Linked DNA regions of Astyanax mexicanus. The protein of the gene in region 3 interacts with the protein of the main gene of each other region in a pairwise test. Links are inferred from orthologs where the notes say so. Each region holds a gene or a part of one and is shown on either strand. Other genes may lie near its edges.

Region 1 (7,506 bases), on a different chromosome or scaffold from region 3:
CCCAAACGCTCTTAATGGAGTTTATGTGTCTCTGACTAGTCCTCATGTCCTGCTCCATATTATCCACCATTCTTTCCGTCCTCTTTAATACCTCACCTTGACGAATCAACTCCTGAGAACAGAGAGACGGCGTGATTAAAAAAAAAAAAAAAAAACGTGACGAGCCATAAAACACTTCTGAGGCAAGACCTCCAACAATGAGCCCTGCCTGTGCTCCTACAGCAGGTCCAACTCAAATAACAGAAATATACTTAAAACACTTCCTGAATCAGAAGAATCTGCCCCTTTGATTCCATCCAACAAAATTGCTGATCCGAACAACCAATGATTTATAAAGAAAAATCATTAAAAACGTTTCATACCACTGTATCTGTATTAATTGTTTATAAAAGTTTTATTCTATATACTCTTGGTGTGAATAAGTGTAAATACCAGCAATATACTAGTGCGAATCACATCAACAAGTTTTGCACTAATAAATGCAAGTATTAGATGATTCTGTTACAGATTCTGCTAAAACAATCAAAAATACTGTATACAAGCAGATTAAGGCCAAACACTGTTTTAAATATTTCTAAACCTGTGTCACATGATTTACTAAGCAGGAATAATGCAAATAGCCAGGATGTGTGTGTGTGTGCTTTTTTCACTTGGTGAATCTTCACAAGATATACGCAGAAAAAATAAAAAAAAAATACTTTTCAGATTATCTCTCCAAATTTGCTCTGCGTTACATGAGAATTGAAAAAATTCCCTTAGACCCCCGAGGTTTAAGAACATCTCACCTCTGCTGTCTCTGTCCCAATCTTTTCTGATTCATAGATGAGGCCGAGAGAGCGATAGCTACTGTCCACCGCCGACTTCGCCGTTTGCATGACCTGCTGCTCCAGCTGCCGCTGCCGCCTCTCCGCAGGACTCAGCTTACTCTCCTCTTCTTCCTCATCGTCAAAATTAAAGCCCCTCCTCGGCCCTGCTGGTTCCTCTTCATCATCATCGGCAAATGGATTGTGGGATTTAGGATACGCCGCCATCCTCCGACCACAGCGGTGTTCTGTAAGCGACTGTGCAAGAAAAAAAAAAGTTTTCCTCGGCTGCACACTAATAACATGTTCTTTCACATCAGTTACCCTGTAAACAGCGTCACCCACAAAGCAGATAACCTTAACCCTCCGTTCTGAAACAGTTCACAGGGGTCGTGAGGGTGATTCTACTTAAGGGCTGTTTCTCTGCAAAATGTACAGACAATCATATCTAGACATTATAAAGAGTTTTCCTTTAACTGAATCAGACCCACTCATTAGACACTCTATACTTTATACATCTTAGCACAAACTGATTCAGATACATTAATGTAGGCTGTGGGCTTGCACATCCAAATTTGTTTAAAAATGTAGTTCTGTTTAGAATGTAGAATTGGAAGCAGTAATGTAAGAGATGATGTGCAAAAATGTCTATATGTCTAGAATATATATTTTTATCAGATTTTATCAGTTTGTCTCTTCCCATACAAACTGACAGAAGACTGGTCTTTCATCATTGAAAATAAGCACCCAGTCGTGTTGCAAAGATTTGTGAAATATTTCCAAAATACTTCCGTTCATTAAAAAGGTTAAGAACCCCTGCCATAAACCCAAAGCCTGTCCAACAGGAGAAGATGTAAAACATTTATTTTGAACAGACATTATTTAACAGGACTGGGACTGAAGACAGGATAAACCAGCTTCCTTCCTCTGCAGGGTGTAGTTGGCGATGTCAGCACTGTATACAGGTTTTAAAACATCCTGTTTCGTGAAAAATCTGTTGTTGCATCATAAAGAAAAAATGAATAAAGCTATGGTGGATAATCATTACAGTTGGCACACCAACACAACATTAATCAATTCTAGCTGATTGTTCTCCTCTAAATGTCCCGTTAGATAGTTAGTCTAGTGTTGTGATCAACTCAAAATATGCCTCAGTTTACTGGTTAGTCACTGGTTAGAAGTTGATGAGTTGTACATTTTCAAAGGACAAAACTTAAATAAAACAAGCACACCAATCTTGGATTCTGATGCATGTTTTTTATAACACCAGTATGATGTAAGCTAATCACAAATAATGTTGATGATTCATAGATTACACACACAGTGTACTTTATGGAATAATTAAGCATCTGGCCTTCTGTCACAAATCCTTTAATAAAGACTAAATTTATCAGTTAAATATAATATCAGCTGCTTATTATAGATAGCGTTATATACTGGATTTTTAGCTAGTTTAATAAAGCCTCATTAACTAGAACATCTTAGTAAAACGTGTAATTTAGTTAATAATAATCACGTGAATTACACGGAATGTAACGTTAGCTAGCGTTAGCTAACAGCTTAGCCTCGTGTCTGTTCGCTTATTATAACATTAAGTAACTTTTCTTACCGCCGGAAAATAAAAACAGCGATTATATTCTGCTGACTCAGTTAATGTGTAGCTTGAAACACATTAAAAGTGCTGTCATGAAATGAAAACAGCTAAAAGCCGCGGTTAGATATCAGCTATTAATAGCTCTTCTCTGGCAAATTAGCGTTAGCATTAGCTTAGCACCGCTGAGTTAACTCCGCTAACGCTCCCTAATCTAATCTAATGTAGATACTGTAGATGATGACGGGTTCTAGTAAATTAACCGCATGTTCAGTGACAGGCAGGTAGTTACAATATGATTATTTATCCATGTTAATATAAATAAATCACAAAAACGATCAATTCCAGACAACAGTAATCCAACAGCTGAATATCTGTGGGTTTAAATAACAGCTGTTAGCTTGCTATGCTAACCCTGTTAGCGAGGCTATGTTAGGTTACTGAAGTTACACCGAATAAACTAAACTAAATTTAAAAAACTCACCGATATAACAGAATAATGTCCTCCTGTAACTCAGCGATGCTGCTGCTGCTGCGGGTGTAACGGAGTTCGGCGCGCCCCCACTGCGCTGTCCCGCTCACTGAGGGGTGCTGTATCCCGCTGTGTTCCCAGGAGGATCAGGTGACCCTAAACTTCCTCTTTCTGACTCGCCGTAATGACGTCACACCCGCGCCACAAACGCTCGGGTACTGTGATGATAATAATAATAATAATAATAATAATAATAATAATAATAATAATAATAATAATAATAATAATAATAAAAGTCTATTTTAATTATATGATGTTTTATGACAGCTGGTATTTAATTTGATGCATTGCTGCCACCTTCAGTATTTCCACATGTATCACTAAACATATTAAAAGTTAGAAGTTGAGAGGTGTGTAGTGATGAACTCTGAAGCTCTGAAATTTCACGGTACCACAGTGCTGGAGTTCACGGAGCTCCTGAGAGAGACCCGTTCTTTGCAGTGAAGGTGTATGGAAATAATTATTATATCACGTCATCATTTCAGACGCAGTGTAATGTAGAGAAAACACACAGTCTGTTTCCATATAATAATTTATTTAAACATCTCAGGCTGTATCCATCCAAAAACAGTGCAGGATAGAAAAGATTCAGAAAAATGACAAACATGTAAACGAGTGTACAAATATTAAAATCACTTCACAATCTGTTCAACACTGAGGCACATACTGTAAACAAGCTGTGATTGGTTAAATAGGACCTCGGGCTGATCTGGTTCTGATTGGTGTGTATCTAACAAATTTTCACAGGCTGAAATAGTCTGTAATTCTCACCCAGCAGGGCAGGATGGAGTATTTCTAAAACCTTAAAAAAATTTATATGATTTTATTAATCACTGATTTAAAGACCTTCAGTCTTGGTGAACAATGGTTCACAACTGAACACAAACTTAGTGCAGTTAGCAAGTTACAAAGCCATCAGTCAGATATGATGCACAGTATTTTATAGACATATCAATGTACATATTTTTATATTTAAATTAATGTAAATCTCTTATTAATTATATTTAGTGCTCGTATTTTAGAAAAAGCAATTTCAATCTCGAAAGAGAAGCAAGAAACTGGGATTTCTTACAGCAAGACTCAAATGCCAGGTGTCATCATAGCAAGTGCACAGAAAACAGCATTCAGTGATCAATCGTATGTTTTGAGACTTTAAAGAGATGAAAGCTACAAACTCTTGATAAGTCTGTAATGTTGAGGCATAATAAACTTCAGTGGGTAGCACTTTATTTCACAGTATGTGAGTAATTACTATTTAATAGGTAAATAGTAAGAAGCAACGCAATGGTAACTACTAGTACTGGCAACTGATGCTCTGTGATTAATTAATATTTCTTAATCATTTTCATCACTTTTATTATTATTATATTTTATATTTTACATATTATATTTTAGCACAAATCTCTTCTTATATATTTTCTGCACTGGCGTTTTTTAAGTCAAAAAATGACCGATTAGCCCATTAGCTAACGGGCAATGCTAACTTTTCCGAGCTGAATTAATGGCTCATGTTTGATAACAGATAAATGGAGCTGTGCTGGTTTTGGGGTTTGATAACAGATTAAATAGTAACTGTTCTCTTATTGTCTTATTCAGAATGTAGATACAGTATATACTAGTGAATTTGAATATTTAACGTGTATGAAGCATGTGTCCTAAAACCTGGCAGCTGGTAGTTTTACTAGTAGTTACCACTGCCTTACTAAAGTACCGTAAAATCACTAGTATTGTTACCTTTAACTTATTTACATATTACATACTAGTCACTTACCATACTGTAGAATAAAGTGCTGCCCTTTACTGCGCTGTTTTTCTCACACACTGAAGCCATGCAGTTAACAGTACATCAGCAGGGCAGCGCGGTTTCAACCAATAACCATTTTAACCATTTCTCTCTACAAGTCTACATGAGGCACATTTTATTTTTTTTATGTAAAAAGTTGTCAAAATGAAAAAAAAAAAAGAATATCTGAAAGGGAGAAATGGTTCATATATGGATATTCATTTGAAGAACTCAATAAAAGATTAAAAACTTGCAAGTGCATTACAGGCGTATAAAGTGCAGAGAGTACTGAACAAACAGGCAATCAAAATTCCACAACAAGGGAGGCAAACATGTTAAAACTAGGGGTGGGATCACAGGGCATCTCACGATACAATATCACGATACACTGCCCACAATAACGATAAGATCACGATACTGTGATTCTGTGATAGTCGATAAATCACAACACAATTCTATGATCTTTCACATCGTCTGTGTTTCTGAAGAGAATAAAATACTCCTAAATAATCAAATACCAGGAATTATAGATTTATTGGTTCAGTTTTACACAATTTAGCAACCGATATTCTTCACTGAAGGTTTTGTTAACCCTATTCATTAGATTATAGCGCCACCATGTGGAATGAAGCAGTAACTTTAGTAACTCCTCTAATTGAGGGCGGGGCTTAGGGGGTTTAGAGCGCCTGTTTCAATAAATAAAAAAAAAAACATATTTGATGAATAATGTATCGCAAACAAAACAATAGAATATATTGATTTTGATATTTTGTCCCACCCCTATTTAACACTGTGCATTAACACTCTATGTGCGCACACACACACACACACACACACACAGATGTAACAGTTCTTCCATAAAACATACATGAGATTTTAGTAAGGGTCCAGCTGTAACTGTACTGTCGGCTGTCAGCTCAGTACGGGATTTGGTTCTGGTAATACTGGATCATATCATAGGTTTTACTCCTAAAAAAAACAAGAATAAAACACATTATACTGTGTTTGTACTGCTGTACATCATTCTTCTCATTTTCAGGTTCAGTTCTTGTGAGAGAGAGTAGCACAACTCCATTAAATCAGACGGGTTAGTTTGCTCCCTCTTGATGTGGTTCGTTTTGACAGGTGTGAAAACAGTAATGGCGCTCACAGTTTTGTGATGACTCTGTAATGTGCTTTGAAAATGTTTAATAAAGTTTATTTTAAAAAGAATACCACTCCGGTGTGGATCAATACAGTCGAACCGAGACCCGTGAGAGGAGGTAGTCTTGGTCCGGTTCTAAACAGTTTGTTTGTGGTGGGAATGTGATTTAGCTTTGATCTTGTTTAAGCTGAACGGCTGTTTAAGTGCAGTTTAACCTGATATATTATGCAGATAATTATTACAGCTATTAACTAACACTGTCTCTGCTGCTCCTCAGTGATAAGAAGTTTTCACACTGAACTCCATTTTCTGATGCGACTGCTGAAGATTTACGCAATAAATAAAAACAAAAGTCTGCGTCCTGTCTCACTGTAATCAAACAATTAGCAGAGACATCATCACATGAATTTCCGTTTTCCATGTGTGAAACCAAATCAAACCAAACCAAACCAACTTTCAAACTAAACGACCTTCTTAACTAACTTTAAGTGTAAAAAAAAACCTGTGTGAGACCGACCTGCTGCTGAGAAAGCAGTTCTGGATGACTTTAATCATGAAGGCCGCTGCTTCCTTCTCACTCATGCTGGGGTTAAATCGCTGCCTGTAAGCAAACACACACAAACATGGGTTTCTTTAATAATTAATTTCTGATTTTACCCTCTTTTCTCCAATTACACAATCTCCAGTCATATGAACTTCCCCTCTGCCTCCTCAGACTCCACCTCTTTTTTCCCCGGCTGCTGATGTCTGGCAGCTGGATTCTGCACTGGAACAGTGACCCTCAGGTCTGACAGTGCATTTATCCACTACACCAACCGGAGCCCCCTCACAAACGACTTTTCCTTAAACACAAATACACTAAGTTGTTGTTTATGTGCAGTAGATTAATTTACTTCAGCAGTTTGATGGTTTGACCACGGAAACACGGAAGACCGGTGTCTAACATGAGCGTCACCAAGGAGACCACAGCATCCATATACGGCCTGTAGAGAAACACACAGCGTTTCAGCACAAATTCACTCATTATAAACAAGCAAACAAGTAAACACAGCGTGTACATCTCTCACCTGACGGCCAGGTAGCCCCGCACACACATCTCCATAAACCATTTGAAGGGTGTGGCTTCCATCTTTCCTCCCATGATCATCACCATCTCATCAGTCAGCTTAATGTCCGGCTCCCAGCCCAGGTTTCCTCCAGGAGAACTCTCAAACATGAAGCCAAAGTCTGGAGAACACACGCACGCACGCACACACACACACGGTCAGGATGATCACAGACAGTTGGCTGTGGAATATTTAGCATTTAAATTTTATGACTGGACTTGTTGCACAGGTGCTGCATCCTATTCTTTCACTAGTGTTTGTAGAAGCTGCAGGAGGAGCTGCTGATTTTATTAAACACCTGTGGAGACGGAGGAGATTCAGGAACACCTGAGATCGGTGATTTGTACGGGTGAGTGAATAATTTTGGTGAATATAGTGTGATATAATAGTTTTGGTGAATATAGTGTGATATAATAGTTTTGGTGAATATAGTGTGATATAATAGTTTTGGTGAATATAGTGTGGTATATTTAGCTGCACTAAGTGGAGAGGAGAGGAATTTGGGTTGTATTTCTGTTTAAAGTAAATATCAGGTAAGATGTTGATT
Region 2 (7,179 bases), on a different chromosome or scaffold from region 3:
ACAGTGTGGTTAAGGTCTGGCAGACTTTTTTACTGTATTATAATATCTCTATTATAATTCTGATGGGGGAGAGGGAGGGAGGGAGAAAGAGAGAGAGAGAGAGAGAGAGAGAGAGAGAAGCATAAACTCTAGTACAAAAAAAGGCAATCTACCTTCTGAACCTGACAGTAAGTGTTTCTGTGTTATATTGCCAAATAAAACTGCTAATGCATCACCAGGCTCTGTCAACTGTGTCATTGATTCATTGTTAGCTACATTAGCAGAGCTTTTTTATTAAAAAAAGTATTGTCTGGTCGCTGGCATTTTAGAGACATTTGCAGTTGGCCAACACTTACCTTCCTAATCTCGTGCTGAATCTGCTGGTTAAATTGTGCCTTCAGGTCAGCAATCTCTTGCTGCAGCTCCTGTACCCTTGGATCAGGCTTATTTCTCTCAGCCTCTGAAGCCTGCAGACTCTTCCTCAGCATTTCACACTCCTCAGCCATCTTCTTCACCTGTTCCTCATAATCTAGTCCCCTGTCTGCAGCTTGCATGGTTTCCACCAAGGTTTCTCTAGCATCCTCCAGTTTAAGTTCAGCATCTTGTCTTAGACTTCTTTCCTCTTGCAGTAATTTCTGAAGCTCACGGAGCATGTGGGCATGATCACCTTGCTCCTGCTCCCGCTCGTGCTGCTGTGTGATTACGCGAGCCTTGCTCTCTGCAAGCTGCTCCTGCAAAGCCTGAAGCTCATTCTGGTACTGCTTGTGTGCCTCCTCCATCTTCCCCTGCATCTCCTCAAGGTCTTGCTTCATCTTCCGCTTGTCTGCTTGGAAGGAAGCCTCCATTCGAGACTTTTCCTGAGTGACCGTGGCCAAAGAGTTGGTCAAAGTAGACAGCTGAGACTTGAGTTGAATCACCCGGCGATCTACTTCAGCAACTGCTGAAGCAACGGGCTGATCTACACCTGCACTGCTGCCGGAACTGACGCCACTCTCCGAGCCACTCTGAGTGTCTTCTGACTGCTGGATCACTGATCCTTCTCCAAGGCCACTCTGATCTTCCTCTAAAGGGTCACCCTTAGTGCTGCTGCTGGTCACACTGGTAGCCGTGTCAACAGAAGCTGCTGTGTCCACACTGTCCTCACTGTGAATGGAACAGTGGTCATCTACAAGGTCAGTAGGTGGTGGGCATTCTGCTTTGCCAGTGCATCCACTGGAAGGTGGGTCATGGCTGTGTAGGGTTAAATCCACCTCCTGGGACACAGTGAGGACGTTCAGACTAGCTTCCAAAGCTTCCTTCTCTTTCAGCAAACTTTTATACGCTCTGACAACATCTTTTAAACGGGTCTGATATTGGATAAGTTGCTTCTTCTGGGCCTCAATTGTGTCAAGCAGGTCTTTCTTGCTTGGGCCTCCACCAAAGCTCATTCCAAACTTTTCCATTGTGAGGACACACTTAAAGTGCTTTCATAGTAAGAGCTGCAAAATATGTAAACCTGCAGAAGTTTAAAACAGAGGGAGAATGTGTCAGTAAATGCAATATTGGCTTGTTGGTTAAATGTTTAGTTACTACTATAATGAATGCTCCAAGTTAGTGATTATAAAACCTTCACATTTCATCATATTTTGGATATGTTATATGAACATATAACATATAATTGTTCTCTTCTCTTAACCCATTTAATTTAGATTTTTTTTTCGCCGGACATAAAAATATCCAAATCCAAAATAAGTTTTATGACAGGTCACAAATGTGACTTTGCAGCATACATTTTACATTTACCTTCTATGTACTTATCAAATAATATACATAACCCAGGCTAGTTATCACTATTTTGGAACAGAGCTCAAACAAAAAAATTACCATTAAATGTATGATGCCCATCATCCACTTTTATCTAATAATAGTGTACCTGGTATGTATCCGGAATAAATAAAGTATATATTTTTCTGTTTAACTACTTTATCTGTAAACTTTATTTGATTGTGCCGATTCAGTACTGTGATATATTTGTATATATACTTTAACAAAATAATTATTTTCCTTTTTCTAGTAAAGTAGGCAATTTGGAGAAGTTGTGACAGCGGTGACATTTAGTATTACAAGTGACAATACTTATAAAATATACTTAAGCCTTATTATAAAAGCACAAATTTGTTTTATTATACAATTTTTTAATAAATATATTAATTTTATCCTGGGACAACAATAATTGTTATAGTATGTAACTGATAAGCATAGAGATCATATTACAATAATAATTTAGGCACATTTCAATTTGTCTTTAGTGTTTAATTGTGCAGCTTAGACAATTATACTTCAATTGTATTAGGCAGAACTATGCAGAACTATGAATGTGTTTAAGTATGTATACTTAGATTCACTGTGTTATCCCATCAGCCACTATTATTCCAAATACATATATCATTACTCAATACAGCCATTACTTTGCATATTGCAATCAGGGTTTAAACAGCTCTGGTTATGTGCCTGTTTATATCTGTCCAGTCTCATTTATTTTTACTTAAGTTCTGACCATAGTGCAGCCCATACTTATACAATATTTCAATGTCAGCTACTGATTTACTGATTAAATCCAGCAATGACGAACTGAACTAGGTAAAACAGTAAACACTACAGCACATGGCACCCAAAAACCAAACACTGTGGAACTGCTTTAAAATTACTCCAGAGGCTGCATCACTATCACACACTAATCTGCGAATTACAGGAAAGCATAAACTACAACATCTTATAACTGTGGTTTCTACTACTGAAGTCAATACTGTTTTATTAAATCTTAATCCTGAGGTAACTTAGATAGGTTAGGTTAGTTAGGTTAACCTAACGTTAGGTCAGTTACTGCAAGCGGACCTCCTTATCATAACAATTAGCCCGCGAGCTAATCCAAACGGCTAACAAACAAACCCAGCAGAAACCCGGCGACCCCACTAAAGCAGCCGCTCTTTAAACATGTGATTTTTTTGTACTTTACTTAAACTGATTAAATACCTGAGATTTTGCATAAAGCGCGAAAGTCTCTCAGCTACGTGTCAAAATAACATTCCGTCTCTTCCTGCTTCTCTCCCACTCACAGGAAGTGACGTCCTGAAAACGCCTGGTGGCCTGTGACCCTATACGTAAAAAAAAAAAAAAAAAAATATATATATATATATATATATATATATATATATATATATATAAAATAATTAATTAAAACGGTAAATAAATATTTTAAATGAGAATTATTTCATTTAATTATTTATGTATTTATTTAAATATGAAAACGAAGCATAAATAATTAATATATATATATATATATATATATATATATATATATATATATATATATATATATATATATATATATATATATATTAATTCATTTATTTATATAATATTGTCGCAAATAACCCTCCATAGATTGGACAGTGAAGGAATGTAGTCGGAAAAATAAGTTATAATATATATACTTATATGCCGCCTAGCCTACCTAATGGCGAAGCAGCTGGTGTTATGGTAAATTCAGTTCCCCCTTTTCCCCCTTCACTGCGCATGTTGAAATCATGATGTAGCGCAGCTCTGATAGGTTCCATAGACCACTGTCATTATTTTTGTAGGCGGTGCCATGTTGTTTATGTCCATATTTGGGGTTCCGTGTCTAAGCGGTTCATGTGAATGGCGAATTTGAATAGGCTTTTTAAAAACTGGCCTCTATCACATTCTATCACATTCCTAATTATCACTGGATCCTCTTAATTTCGAGATCATTTAAGGGTTCGCGTTTACTTGAAGTTTGGTGGGCGTGAGATTTGGAGGGGGTGGGGGTTGTTTGGTGGTGGGGGTGCACACAGTTCCTCCTCAGTTGTTCAACTGGGGGGGAATACCATGTGTGGTGTGTAAGAGTGTTAACTTGCTGAGGTGGGTGTGTCACACGCTCAAAGCATGAGATTTGAGAACACTGTTAACAGCAGCTCAGATCAGAGACCAGTTAAATGCCACACAGAGTTCTAGCAGAAGACCCATCTCTAGAACAACTGATAAAAGGGAGACTGCGCAAAGCAGGCCTTCATGGTCAAATAGCTGCTAGGAAACCACTGCTAAGAAGAGGCAACAAGCAGAAGAGATTTGTTTGGGCACAAGGAATGGACATTAGTCCAGTGGAAATCTGTGCTTTGGTCTGACGAGTCCAAATTTGAGATCTTTGGTTCCAACCGCTGTGTCTTTGTGAGACGCAGAAAAGGTGAATGGATGGATTCCACATGCCTGGTTCCCACTGTGAAGCATGGAGGAGGGGCTATGGTGGTGTGGGGGTGTTTTGCTGGTGACACTGTTGGGGATTTATTAAAAATTGAAGACACACTGAACCAGCATGGCTACCACGGCATCCTGCAGCAACATGCCATCCCATATAATTTGCATTTAGTTGGACGATCGTTTATTTTTCAACAGGACAACGACCACAAACACACCTTCAGGCTGTGTAAGGGCTACTTGACCAAGAAGGAGAGTGATGGAGTGCTGCGACAGATGACCTGGCCTCCACAGTCACCGGACCTGAACCCAGTCGAGATGGTTTGGGGTGAGCTGGACCGCAGAGTGAAGGCAAAGGAGCCAACAAGTGCTAAACACCTCTGGGAACTCCTTCAAGACTGTTGGAAATTTTTTTTAGATGACTACCTCTTGAAGCTCATTGAGAGAATGCCAAGAGTGCAAAGCAGTAATCAGATCAAAGGGTGGCTATTTTTCCAGAAACTAGAATATAAAACATGTTTTCAGTTATTTCTCCTTTTTTTGTTAAGTACAAAACTCCACATGTGTTCATTCTTAGTTTTGATGCCTTCAGTGAGAAATAGTAGATAGTGTAAAGTATAATAGACAGTGTAAATAGTCGTGAAAATAAAGAAAACGCATTGAATGAGAAGGTGTGTCCAAACTTTTGGCCTGTACTGTACATCACCTCTTTACAGAAACATAATTACATTTCTTAGTTAGGTAGTTAAGCACACCATGCTACACCAATAAGAGGATCTGGACAAGACTTCTAATACATTAACATAAATAGGATTTGGACTCACAATACAAAAAACATATAGTTAGAGAGTGGGGACAGGTAACAAATGCTATTTCTTCAGTGTTCTAAGTAGGTTATTAATGTTTTATTATTAAGTTATTTTGTGTGCACATTTATACATGTAATTTCCTGGGGACAGAAATGGCACCGATTCGGCGGAATATGCCTTAAAGTGAGTGTAAAGTGAGTGAGTGAGTAAGTGCACTACAGAGGGAACAGACAGTCGTTTGGGACTGGGCCTCACTGAAGACGCGCTGACGTCATTTCTTCCGCGTTGGCCTGGCCGTGGACGGAGGTCAGCTGCAGAGACAGAGAGCGGCTCCACTGCTGGAAACACCGGCTGATTTATTCTGTTATCAGCTCTACATCTCTCTGATCTCCTGACCATGGGAATCACCATATCCTCCCTGTTCTCTAAGCTCTTCGGGAAGAAGCAGATGAGGATACTGATGGGTGAGCGAACGGCTGTCTGTCTGTCTGTCTGTCTGTCAGAGCTCTCGGCTAATGAAAGCGAGACCCTCTGATCATCACAGCCCTTTTTACACATTAACACCATTAACACATACGAGCACACCGCTAATGCTTTACTCACAGCCTGATCAGCACATAGTCTCTTCTCCTTTACTATCAGTCAGACCGACCCTGAGCAGCAGGTCAGCTGTAGAGCTGTAGATCTGACCTGCGGACAGTTTAAGTGTCTCCTCCTGTTGTTTTATTGATGCCTAAAGTAATTTAATACTCGATCCTCAGGTGGGTCGATTTACCTTTACTCGCTCCCTGAGCACAGCCTGTTCTTTCTGATTTAATTAAATTGTTTAAATGTAAATACCTTTACTCATACGCTCCTGAATATTCATGAGATAATTATACACATCTACCCTTTTATTCCCGTCTATTCATTTAGTTCCTTGCTTATTTTCGGGATTAATTTAACCTAAAGAGCCCATGGTAATTAAAAGCTCCTTACAGCACTCTGTCCTCACTCAGAAACTCCTTCACTGATATAAACTGAACATAGCCCACTGATCATCAAAATTTGAAATCCAAATATGCAAACTATACTTGGATCAACAAATAGAAAGGCTGCAAATGCTGTAAATATTTGCCACCATTTCTTATGCCCCGGTATATCATAAGTTACACTGCCTGGACAAAAAATAGTCTCCACCTGCATTTAACTAAGTAAATGATGGGGGTTGCTGCAGTTGGGGGATGGGGTGTAGTAATGTAGTAACTAGGGATATACTAATAAGGGAACTCATGCAGATTATAAAATATGTCCACAGGTGTTTTTCTAATTAACTCAGATGTTGCCAATAAACCTATCAGAAGCTTCCAAAGTCATTATATGATCATATGGGCTGTGCCAAATTGTTCAGTCATAGTAATCTTAGCGTATGTAAACTTTTGACTAATAAAATGCGCACAAAATGATGTCGCTCTCATTATTCTGGCATTTGGAAAATATAATTTAGGAATTCTAATTGACCTAAAATGGGAAAGGTTTATTCTGATGTCATGTTAGACAATGAGGAAAAACAAGGTTAACCTCTTTTAAAGCCAGCTTTTTTGTCAATTTTCTGCCTGATATTACATGCCTAAATATTAAGGCTACCTATTCAAGCATTACATAAAAAGGGTTCATATTTGATAGGAAACATTACTGAAAATCTGAGAAAATATTTATTAAATATTTATTTAAATCTGCAACTGTAGATAATAAAACATAAAGTGAATAAAAATTATAGTGGATAAAAATCACAAAAATGGCACTTTCCTAAGCTTCGTTTTAAAATCTGTATTTTTGTGAATACAAATATTTTAATGTGCTTCAGAACTTTAATTTTGTTACGGTTGTCTAGTTTTTATGTCTATTTTCAAACATTTTTAAAACAAATTATTAGGTGGAGTAGAGGGTGAACTGGCAGCATCTCCTGTAGGAGAGTCTCTAAAGGCCTCAAATTCTTCAGAATGTAAATGGCTTATTTTGCTACAGAGAAAAAGGGTTTTATATAACCTACACATAAGTTCAGCAACCCCTCTGTTAGATGTAAGATTGTTGGTTGGTTTTATGATGGTTTAGATAATTCACAATTCAAGCAAACGCCAAAAACAACTTTAAACTT
Region 3 (7,785 bases):
AAATATGACAGGTTTAAAAATGAGAGAAGTGGGGGAGGACAACAACCTTCCACTGTTCAGGTTTCTGTGTGCGTCTATGTGCCCATTTTAGTTTTGTATGGCTCACATTACACAAAATAGTTGATTCTGTTAAAACTACATACAGTGAATATTGAGGGTGTGTGAATTGTGAGGGGGTGAGAAACTAAAGATACTTTCAGTACACTTTATACTTTTTGATGGAGCTGATCTTTAATTAAAGTATCTTGGCCTACATCTCAGGGAGAGTCAGCCTTGGTCTTGTTCTTGCGGTTCTTGGCAGAACGGACCTCTTCAATAAGATCCTTTAGGTACTGGATCTCCCTACTTATCGAGTCAGCCTTTTCCGACAGCTCACGATTCCTCTTCTCCAACTCAGTACACTCTTCATTCAGGGACTCCTGCTCTACCCGCTTCTTCTGCCGGTAGCGGGTCGCTGCTGTCTTATTCTGCTCCATCTTCTTCAGCTTCTTGTCCACAGACTTCCCAGTGACTGTCTTCACTTTACCAACAACTGTGACACCTGCCTCTGGGTCTGGCTTGGAGTATGGCTTGGTTCTGGAAGTGCCAACAGGCTTGGGGGATGGTGCAGGACTCGGGTTGTGAGGGGGAGAACCAGAGACTGATTCAATGCCACTGTCAGACTGGTCTGCACAGGAACTGGGCATGACACTCACCTCTTCTTTGGGCGCAAGAACAACCACAATGTGAGCAGGTGAGAGGGACAGCACAATGCTGGGGGTCTGTTGGTCACTACTGGTTTTGGAAACCACCTTCTCCAGCTCTGAGATGTCCACCTCACTGCCCAGTTCCAGGGTGAAGGCAGGAGACAATGGCTCTGATTTTATCTCAATGGGAATGGGCTCCGGACGGACCTCAGGGTCTGCCGGTTGCTCTGGAAGTGGGAGGTCAAGGGAAAGAGGAGGCAGGCCAAGCTCTTCTGGGTCAGAGGGTGAAGATGAGGGAAATGGTAGGGGAGCCAGGTCCAGATCCATTTGGGACTCCAAGGATGCCAGCAGCTCTTCTGGTGAGCTGGGGGGCTCATCTAAATCACAGGACCCGATGAGCGAATCCAGGTCGAAGTCACTTAGGTCGATCTTCTCTGTCATCCAGTCCATGCCAGAAAACGCATCCCCTGCAACAGAAAAGCTTTTGGGTTATTCTCTGCTAGTGACAACATATGGCAATTCTGGCATTCTGATTTTTCCATTTCTCACTTATATAATTTATATATGCACTTGTTTAATTTGTGACCACTGTTTTCACACTTCACACGAATGGGTCATAAATGTAGGTGTCATGCTTAAGTTGCTCAACCAGTCTTACCTTCTTTCTGATCTGCTCTTACATGAGCATCAATCTGCTCACCAGCAGACAGCCAGGGGAGCGGCAGCAGGTCAGACCCAACTTTACACCCTAGAGGAGCAGGGGCCGAAAAGGGGGAGAACGGGGAGGAGGTGTAAGATTCAGAGTATGAAGAGAAGGAGAGGGGCGAAGACGACCCCTCAGAAAGAGCTCTCTCTTCATCTTCGTCCAGAAGGGGCCCGAAGGGGTCAGCCATCAGAGTCGAGGGCCCCAAGAGCAGGGCCCCCACGTCCTCCATGCACATCTGTGAGGTCAGAGACATGGTGGCTGGTCAGGGGTCGTGACAGAGTCAACGAGAACAGGAGTTCTGATGATGAGTCGAGCAAAGTTGGTATGCTGTCGACGGCAGCAAAGCTGAGGGTGGTTGCCTCAAAGGACCTAAAAAAAAAAGGCAAAAACAGAAAACAAAAAAAGAAAAAGGTTACCATGTAAACATTTAATCTTCTTGTAAAACCTCTATCTCAGACATGACTTAAACAAAAAACTACAACAGGTTTATACAAGCTACCTCATTATGTGGTTCCCACTGTAATTATGAAGCTCTCTTGTGAACACGTAAGAAAATGTCCCAATACAGGTCAAACACGTTTAGTCAGTCACCACAACACCGCCCAAGGCACTGTAATTAAACTATATATAAAAACCAGTCAATCATGTATTAGCACTACTTTTTGTTGAAACTGGTCCAAAACTGAATTCATGCTGACCCGTTTTTATGGAATGAGTATAGAATTAGGAAAAGAAGCCAAATATTACTCAAATACTTCCCTACCACCTACACAAAAACACCACCTCCCCACAAAGTAAATTCCAAACATTTAACAGTTTCATGTTTCAACAGGAAAACTCTGCTCCAAGACAATTTAAATCAGTCTTTCTTCTTTCCCGTCAACCACAAGGCCTGCCAAAAACGCTCCGCCCACACGTCACAAGTTTCCTTAATATGGTCACGGTGCACCAAGCCCCGCCTTATGCCCCTCCCTCATGGCGGCTGTGCCCTTGGCGATCGCGCCATTTTCACAACACAGCCAGCACGAGGGAGGGAAGCTGGTGCGCCATTTTGAATAGTGCCACGTTGTCTGGTCAAAGGCGGACAGCTGTGTTTTTGTTTTTATTGGTCCATTTTAAACACGACCTCCCTCACAAACAACATAATACCACAGTAATAACCCAGTACATTTTATAAGCACAATTACAGTTCGTCAGCTAAAAAAATTAACAATAAATATTGAGGGCGGGAACTGTATCAAATGGCGGGGGCGGTAAATAAGGCCAAGTAAAGTTCAGACTCATTGCAGGTTAATAAATGTACAACCCTGACATTAATTAAATCTCGATTGTAGGTATTTTTGTATGTATAACTTTATTAGGTAGCTGACACATTTAACATTATACCTCCCACCAACAAAGACAACTCCTCCCCTGCCGGTAACGACGACATAAGCTAGCCGGCCTACTTCAGTCATCCGGTCCTCTCACCTCAAATCACTAAAAAATACAAAATTATACTTACGCCATTTTGCCTAATAGAATCAGTGCAATTCGCCGTTGCACTGCAGGATCCGCCGCTGCGAGTTTTGCCGCTGCAAGCCGCTACACTGCCATTTTGAGCAGGGAGCTCTCAGCTCAACGCGTTGTATTACAGAAGGGAAAGAGAACGAAAACGTCGGTAGGGCGTCACATGACCTTATATACTCACATACAACACCCACATATGACCTTCCGCCTCCGAAACATTCTGGTATCACTCCGCGGGCTGCATCTCTTTCTGATTGGTGGAGCTGATCGCCAGGTTGTGTGACGCGTGGGGAAAAACATAGTTCCTAAACAGAGCTGTGGGGAGGAATATGCGACGACATAATAAATACACCACAACTTTTTCATTTCCGACACTTTACTATTAAATTATATTATAGCGTCAACACAACTGATATTACCATAAGGTTTTCTAACAAAAAGTGACTTTTGTTGACCATGTTAATTAAAACACTTTTACTTGAACTGAGTATTTATTTGAGATAATACAACATAATAGACGTAAATTACATTAAAGACCTGCTCCTGTAAAAACAAATAATATAGTTTTTATAAGAATATCTCTGAATTTACCCCTTTCCCAAAATCCTAAACTACACTTTAAACACCACACAGTAACAGATGACGTAAATGCAGCGTCTGTATATATCACGAGACTACGAACTAACTATTCTCAACACATCAATAAATCAGTACTGAAACAGTGATATTACTAATATCTTACACATGATTTTATATAGCTACGGTTTATTAAATTAACTCTTTACATTAAAATGAGAAAATGGAAACACATTTCCTCCCAAAGAGTCCTATTTATTTTGTTAATGGCCTCGTGGCCTCAGTGGCTCACAGACAACAATAGGAAATGGTACAAGGCTGCCCTCTAGGCCTTTTTCCCTGGCATAACAATAAAGTAATTCTGACTATTGTATTAAGCTTTATTGTCATGTAATCATTATACACATATAAACTACACTGTAAACCCACAATTAATTTGAACTCAAATAAATTAAGTCTAAAATTGGTTATTTTCAAACATTAGGCCTACTCAACTATTTTGAGTTAGGTGAACATTTGTGGACACAAAAGTTTGGGCACAGCTCTTCTCATTCAATGCGTTTTCTTTTTTTCTTTAGATTTTTTACATTGTAATTTTAATATTGAAGCTGTCCAGGACCACATACAAATTATACTGTAAAAAAAGGTGAAAAACAAACCAACACATGTTTTATTCTTTAGAGTCCTATAAGTAGCCACATTTAGCTTTGAGGACAGCTCTGCACACTCTTTGCATTTTCATGATTTAGAGCCTTCAGTGTCTTGAAGGAGTTTCTGAAGGTGCTAAACAATAGTTGCTGCTTTTCCTTCACGCTCTGCTCCAGCTCATCCCAAATCACCCATCTCAGTTGGGTTTAGGTCAGGGTCAGGTCAGGTCCTTATGAGTCCCCTAATTTTTTATGCTTTTAATATGAATAATTTAGACTGGTTCTGTGTATTCAAACATAGTTAAATCAACTTTTGTTGTAGGGTGTAAGGGTAAGGTGCTAATGCTGTGTGCTAGAGTGTTCCTTCTATTGGTTTTTATGTCGTCTTTCAAATGCAGATTTTTCTTAGATCAATTAAAAACAATGAAATACAAATCTATTTTGTTCACAAAACGTAAGCTAGTGTAACCTAAACTTACTTATTAAAACCTATTTAATATAGAATATTAGTTTAACTTGAAAATTGAGTTACTCTTACTTATACTTTTATCAATCAGTTTCACCAATTTTAGATAAAATAGCCTTATTGGGTTTTACACTATACTATACTATACTATGCACACTATAGATACGGTTGACCCCATAATATGATGTTTTGGGCAAGGTGAGTTCTATAATAGGCCAACAAAATCAGGTTCAGAAATGTTGGTCAATCAAGAAAAATCACTTCACATTGATGTTGACCTCTTCCCTGCATTCTTGCAAAAAGTGGCATAACCAACTGGATAATTATCAGAATACTGTCTTTTGGCATCTCATAACTTTCTAAAAATGGCTTAATATTTTACCATAAAAAGGTGAACAGCTTAAGCCTCATCTCAACTAAATATGGAGACAGTGCAAGAAATATTAAGTGAAATAATATAATTAATTGCTAAATATGCAATTGCAATAAGTACTTAACATAAAATGTACCAAATTTTCTTTAAAGTTAAGGATAAGATTCCTCTTTATGTGTATTAATGTGTTGCTTCAGACTAAATGTTAAAAAATATATATTTTGTACAGTGTTTGATTATGGTGTTCTGACACTTTACTTAATGTAAGTGTAATAAGAAATAACATTGTTTCAAGTTGTAATTAATGATAAATACTGGAAAAACAAAAAAGGCATTGTAGTCAGCTTCTTTATTGTTACCTGGACAGGATGTTTTCTCCCTCTATTCCAAAAAAAGGAGCTGAACAAAGATCTTCTGAAAAAGGAGGAATTTTCCTGTGTGCCCAGAAAAACTGGAGAGTTAATTCAACACTTGCCTTTCTGCTGTGTGGGTCTAATTCTCACAACACATTAAATATCAAATAAAAGACTACAGTTTCCTCATTTAAATGTATTTATTATATTGCAAAATATCTAATACAATCAATAGTGTTTTGATAAACGTTTTTTTATTTGATTACATAAAAGGTTTAGAAAGCTTCGCTATTTTGATTTTCCAAAAAAGTGTTCCAGTTAACATTAAAAGCTTAATGTCAAAGTATCCAGATATGCAAATATTGCATCCAACTTGAAAGATTTCCATTGAAAAGCAGTGACAATAGAATGGGACACTCTGAAGCATTCACACACAATCCTTATATCACCATGCAATAGCTGGCAAGAGCGGTTCAAGGAAACTCCTCTATTATTCTACTATATAATGATGGAACTGTGATCTCTGGAGAAGTGGAGCTTACCTTTAGGTTTATCCATCAACACAACCTGACCGTAGGATAAGGCTTTCATGACTGATTGCAACCCAAGATCTACCTATGGCTGAGAGTGAACATAATTGATGTAAATGTCTTCAGGTAGACTAGAGGGTTGTCCTCCAAGTGTGTTCAACTTTCAAATGACATTCAATGATACTTCCATTGTGTGAAGGGTAGGTGTGATGAGGTGAAACGACTAAATTGAAAAGAAAATTGTAAGTAGTGTAAGATTTACAGTAAAGCCTCACCAGAAAAGGAATGGGAAACACTCCCATAATGTCACTGATTTTTTGAGAACTAATGCTGGCTAAACATTACCTTAGATTTTAGGGTATTCATCCACAGATAACCCACATTTCGTGCTTTTCTGTTCATAACTAACCTGTTTTTTACAAGTCTGCAGATTTTAGATCATTTTTAACTTTCATTAGCTCATCAAGGCTGGCTTTCATCTTCTCAGCCACCTCACGGATCTGCTTGGCAAACTTGGTTTCTGACCCTTTCTTCAGCTTCTGCTTGTCGTTTGTGGTGAAGTGGATGTCCATGCCCAGTGCAAAGCCCTGAATCACACCTGAGGCCTTGCTGAAAGCACAGATGGCTAAAGTATTTCTTCCAGCCACACCAGCCACTTTTGCCACCTTCACCACCTCTTGGTCCACCCCGTGCAACTCAGACAGGTTGTGACTGTTTAGGTACTTGATCCCTGACCTGATGAACATCACACAGTTCTCAATATCCTCTATCTCAGTGGTGAAGTCTTGAAGGATTTTCTCCACCTTCTTTCTGTCATTGTCGCTGTTGACCTTGTTGGTGATTGCGGCGGAGGCTCCTGTGACCCCTCCAGCAGCAGCCACACCAACCCCAACTGCGGTCACTGCTAATGAAGCACCCAAAGTCAGTGGGGCAAGTAATATGCCCCCTACAGCAGCTGCCACTCCAGCTGCCCCTGCTGCCCCACCAGTAATGCCAGCAATCCTTGCACCTTTATACACCTTGTTCAAGTTATCAGCTACTCCTGACAGCTCATCTGTGAGACCACGAAGAGTATCTTCACGCTCAGACAGGAGAAAATCATACAGGCGGACTGCCTTTTTTACGTGGCGAGCCTTCTTTGTGAATGTTCTGAGGAGGAAGAGAGACCAGGGGTTATGTTATGAAGAAGAACGGTTTTAAACACGGCTTAAATTAAGTGCCAAAATATTGTTTATTTTACACTTACTTTGCTGCTTTGTTTTTTGGGAGATGATGACAATTGGGTACGTTCTCCCAAGCTAAAGAAAGAAGAAGGTCCATGTTTAAAAACAGTGTTTTTATGAATAACATTGTTTTATGATCAAAATGTGACAGTAGCTTAAACTTAATTAAAGGAAACACACCTCATCTCCAGTAGTATGTATTAGATGGAGCACCATTATTCCAGAGAACACAGTTTTACTGCTCCACAGCTCAAGGCTGGGGGTCTATATACTGCTCAAGCCATTCCCTGGCAGTAAGCTAACAGTAAGCTACACTTACCAAGTATAGCTCAAAGATTATTCTATAAACAGCGTATTGACCTTTTTAATTGGCCTACTCAATTTCAGAATGCTATCAGTTAGTTTGGATTCTTGACTTGGCTCAGCCAATCAGATTTCAGAAAATGTTGTAATTAGAATAAACATAATAGGTTTTGTTGAAAGTATAACACGTCAAACCAAAATAACATCACTGTGGACAGTCTGAACCAAAGTTTATATGCTTATTACATCATATGAACTTGGTCCGATTAGTTTTGGTTTCACACTGCAGTTTAGAAAGAAAACTAAAGAACTTCATGGACTACGGCTTTACATAGACTGTGTATAGCTGGACAGAGCATCGTCTCTCAAAAGTGAAGCCACCACAGGTCGGGCGCCCCCTGCTGTTCAGTTGC

What was found.
Region 1: the proteins of atf4a (region 3) and snap29 interact in a two-hybrid assay, tested with the Homo sapiens proteins (2 studies listed by BioGRID and IntAct). The link is inferred for Astyanax mexicanus from reciprocal best matches to the Homo sapiens genes ATF4 and SNAP29.
Region 2: the proteins of atf4a (region 3) and gcc1 interact in binary tests that used the Homo sapiens proteins (3 or more experiments, as listed by UniProt). The two-hybrid records come from large-scale screens. The link is inferred for Astyanax mexicanus from reciprocal best matches to the Homo sapiens genes ATF4 and GCC1.

Annotation. Positions count from the first base shown.
Region 1 is NC_064419.1:75,429-82,934, reverse strand, and holds the start of snap29 (synaptosomal-associated protein 29), read right to left. Parts: upstream 3,026-7,506; 5' UTR 2,879-3,025; intron 1,062-2,878; 5' UTR 1,032-1,061; coding exon 786-1,031; intron 113-785; coding exon 1-112. UniProt on the Homo sapiens protein: SNAREs, soluble N-ethylmaleimide-sensitive factor-attachment protein receptors, are essential proteins for fusion of cellular membranes.
Region 2 is NC_064409.1:35,744,082-35,751,260, reverse strand, and holds the start of gcc1 (GRIP and coiled-coil domain-containing protein 1), read right to left. Parts: upstream 3,097-7,179; 5' UTR 2,992-3,096; intron 1,475-2,991; 5' UTR 1,422-1,474; coding exon 336-1,421; intron 1-335. Other genes in the region: ADP-ribosylation factor 4, read left to right, coding at 5,440-5,506. UniProt on the Homo sapiens protein: Probably involved in maintaining Golgi structure.
Region 3 is NC_064412.1:31,402,575-31,410,359, reverse strand, and holds the start of atf4a (cyclic AMP-dependent transcription factor ATF-4), read right to left. Parts: upstream 3,055-7,785; 5' UTR 2,897-3,054; intron 1,762-2,896; 5' UTR 1,646-1,761; coding exon 1,345-1,645; intron 1,154-1,344; coding exon 258-1,153; 3' UTR 1-257. Other genes in the region: apolipoprotein L6-like, read right to left, coding at 6,263-6,995, 7,093-7,144. UniProt on the Homo sapiens protein: Transcription factor that binds the cAMP response element (CRE) (consensus: 5'-GTGACGT[AC][AG]-3') and displays two biological functions, as regulator of metabolic and redox processes under normal cellular conditions, and as master transcription factor during integrated stress response (ISR).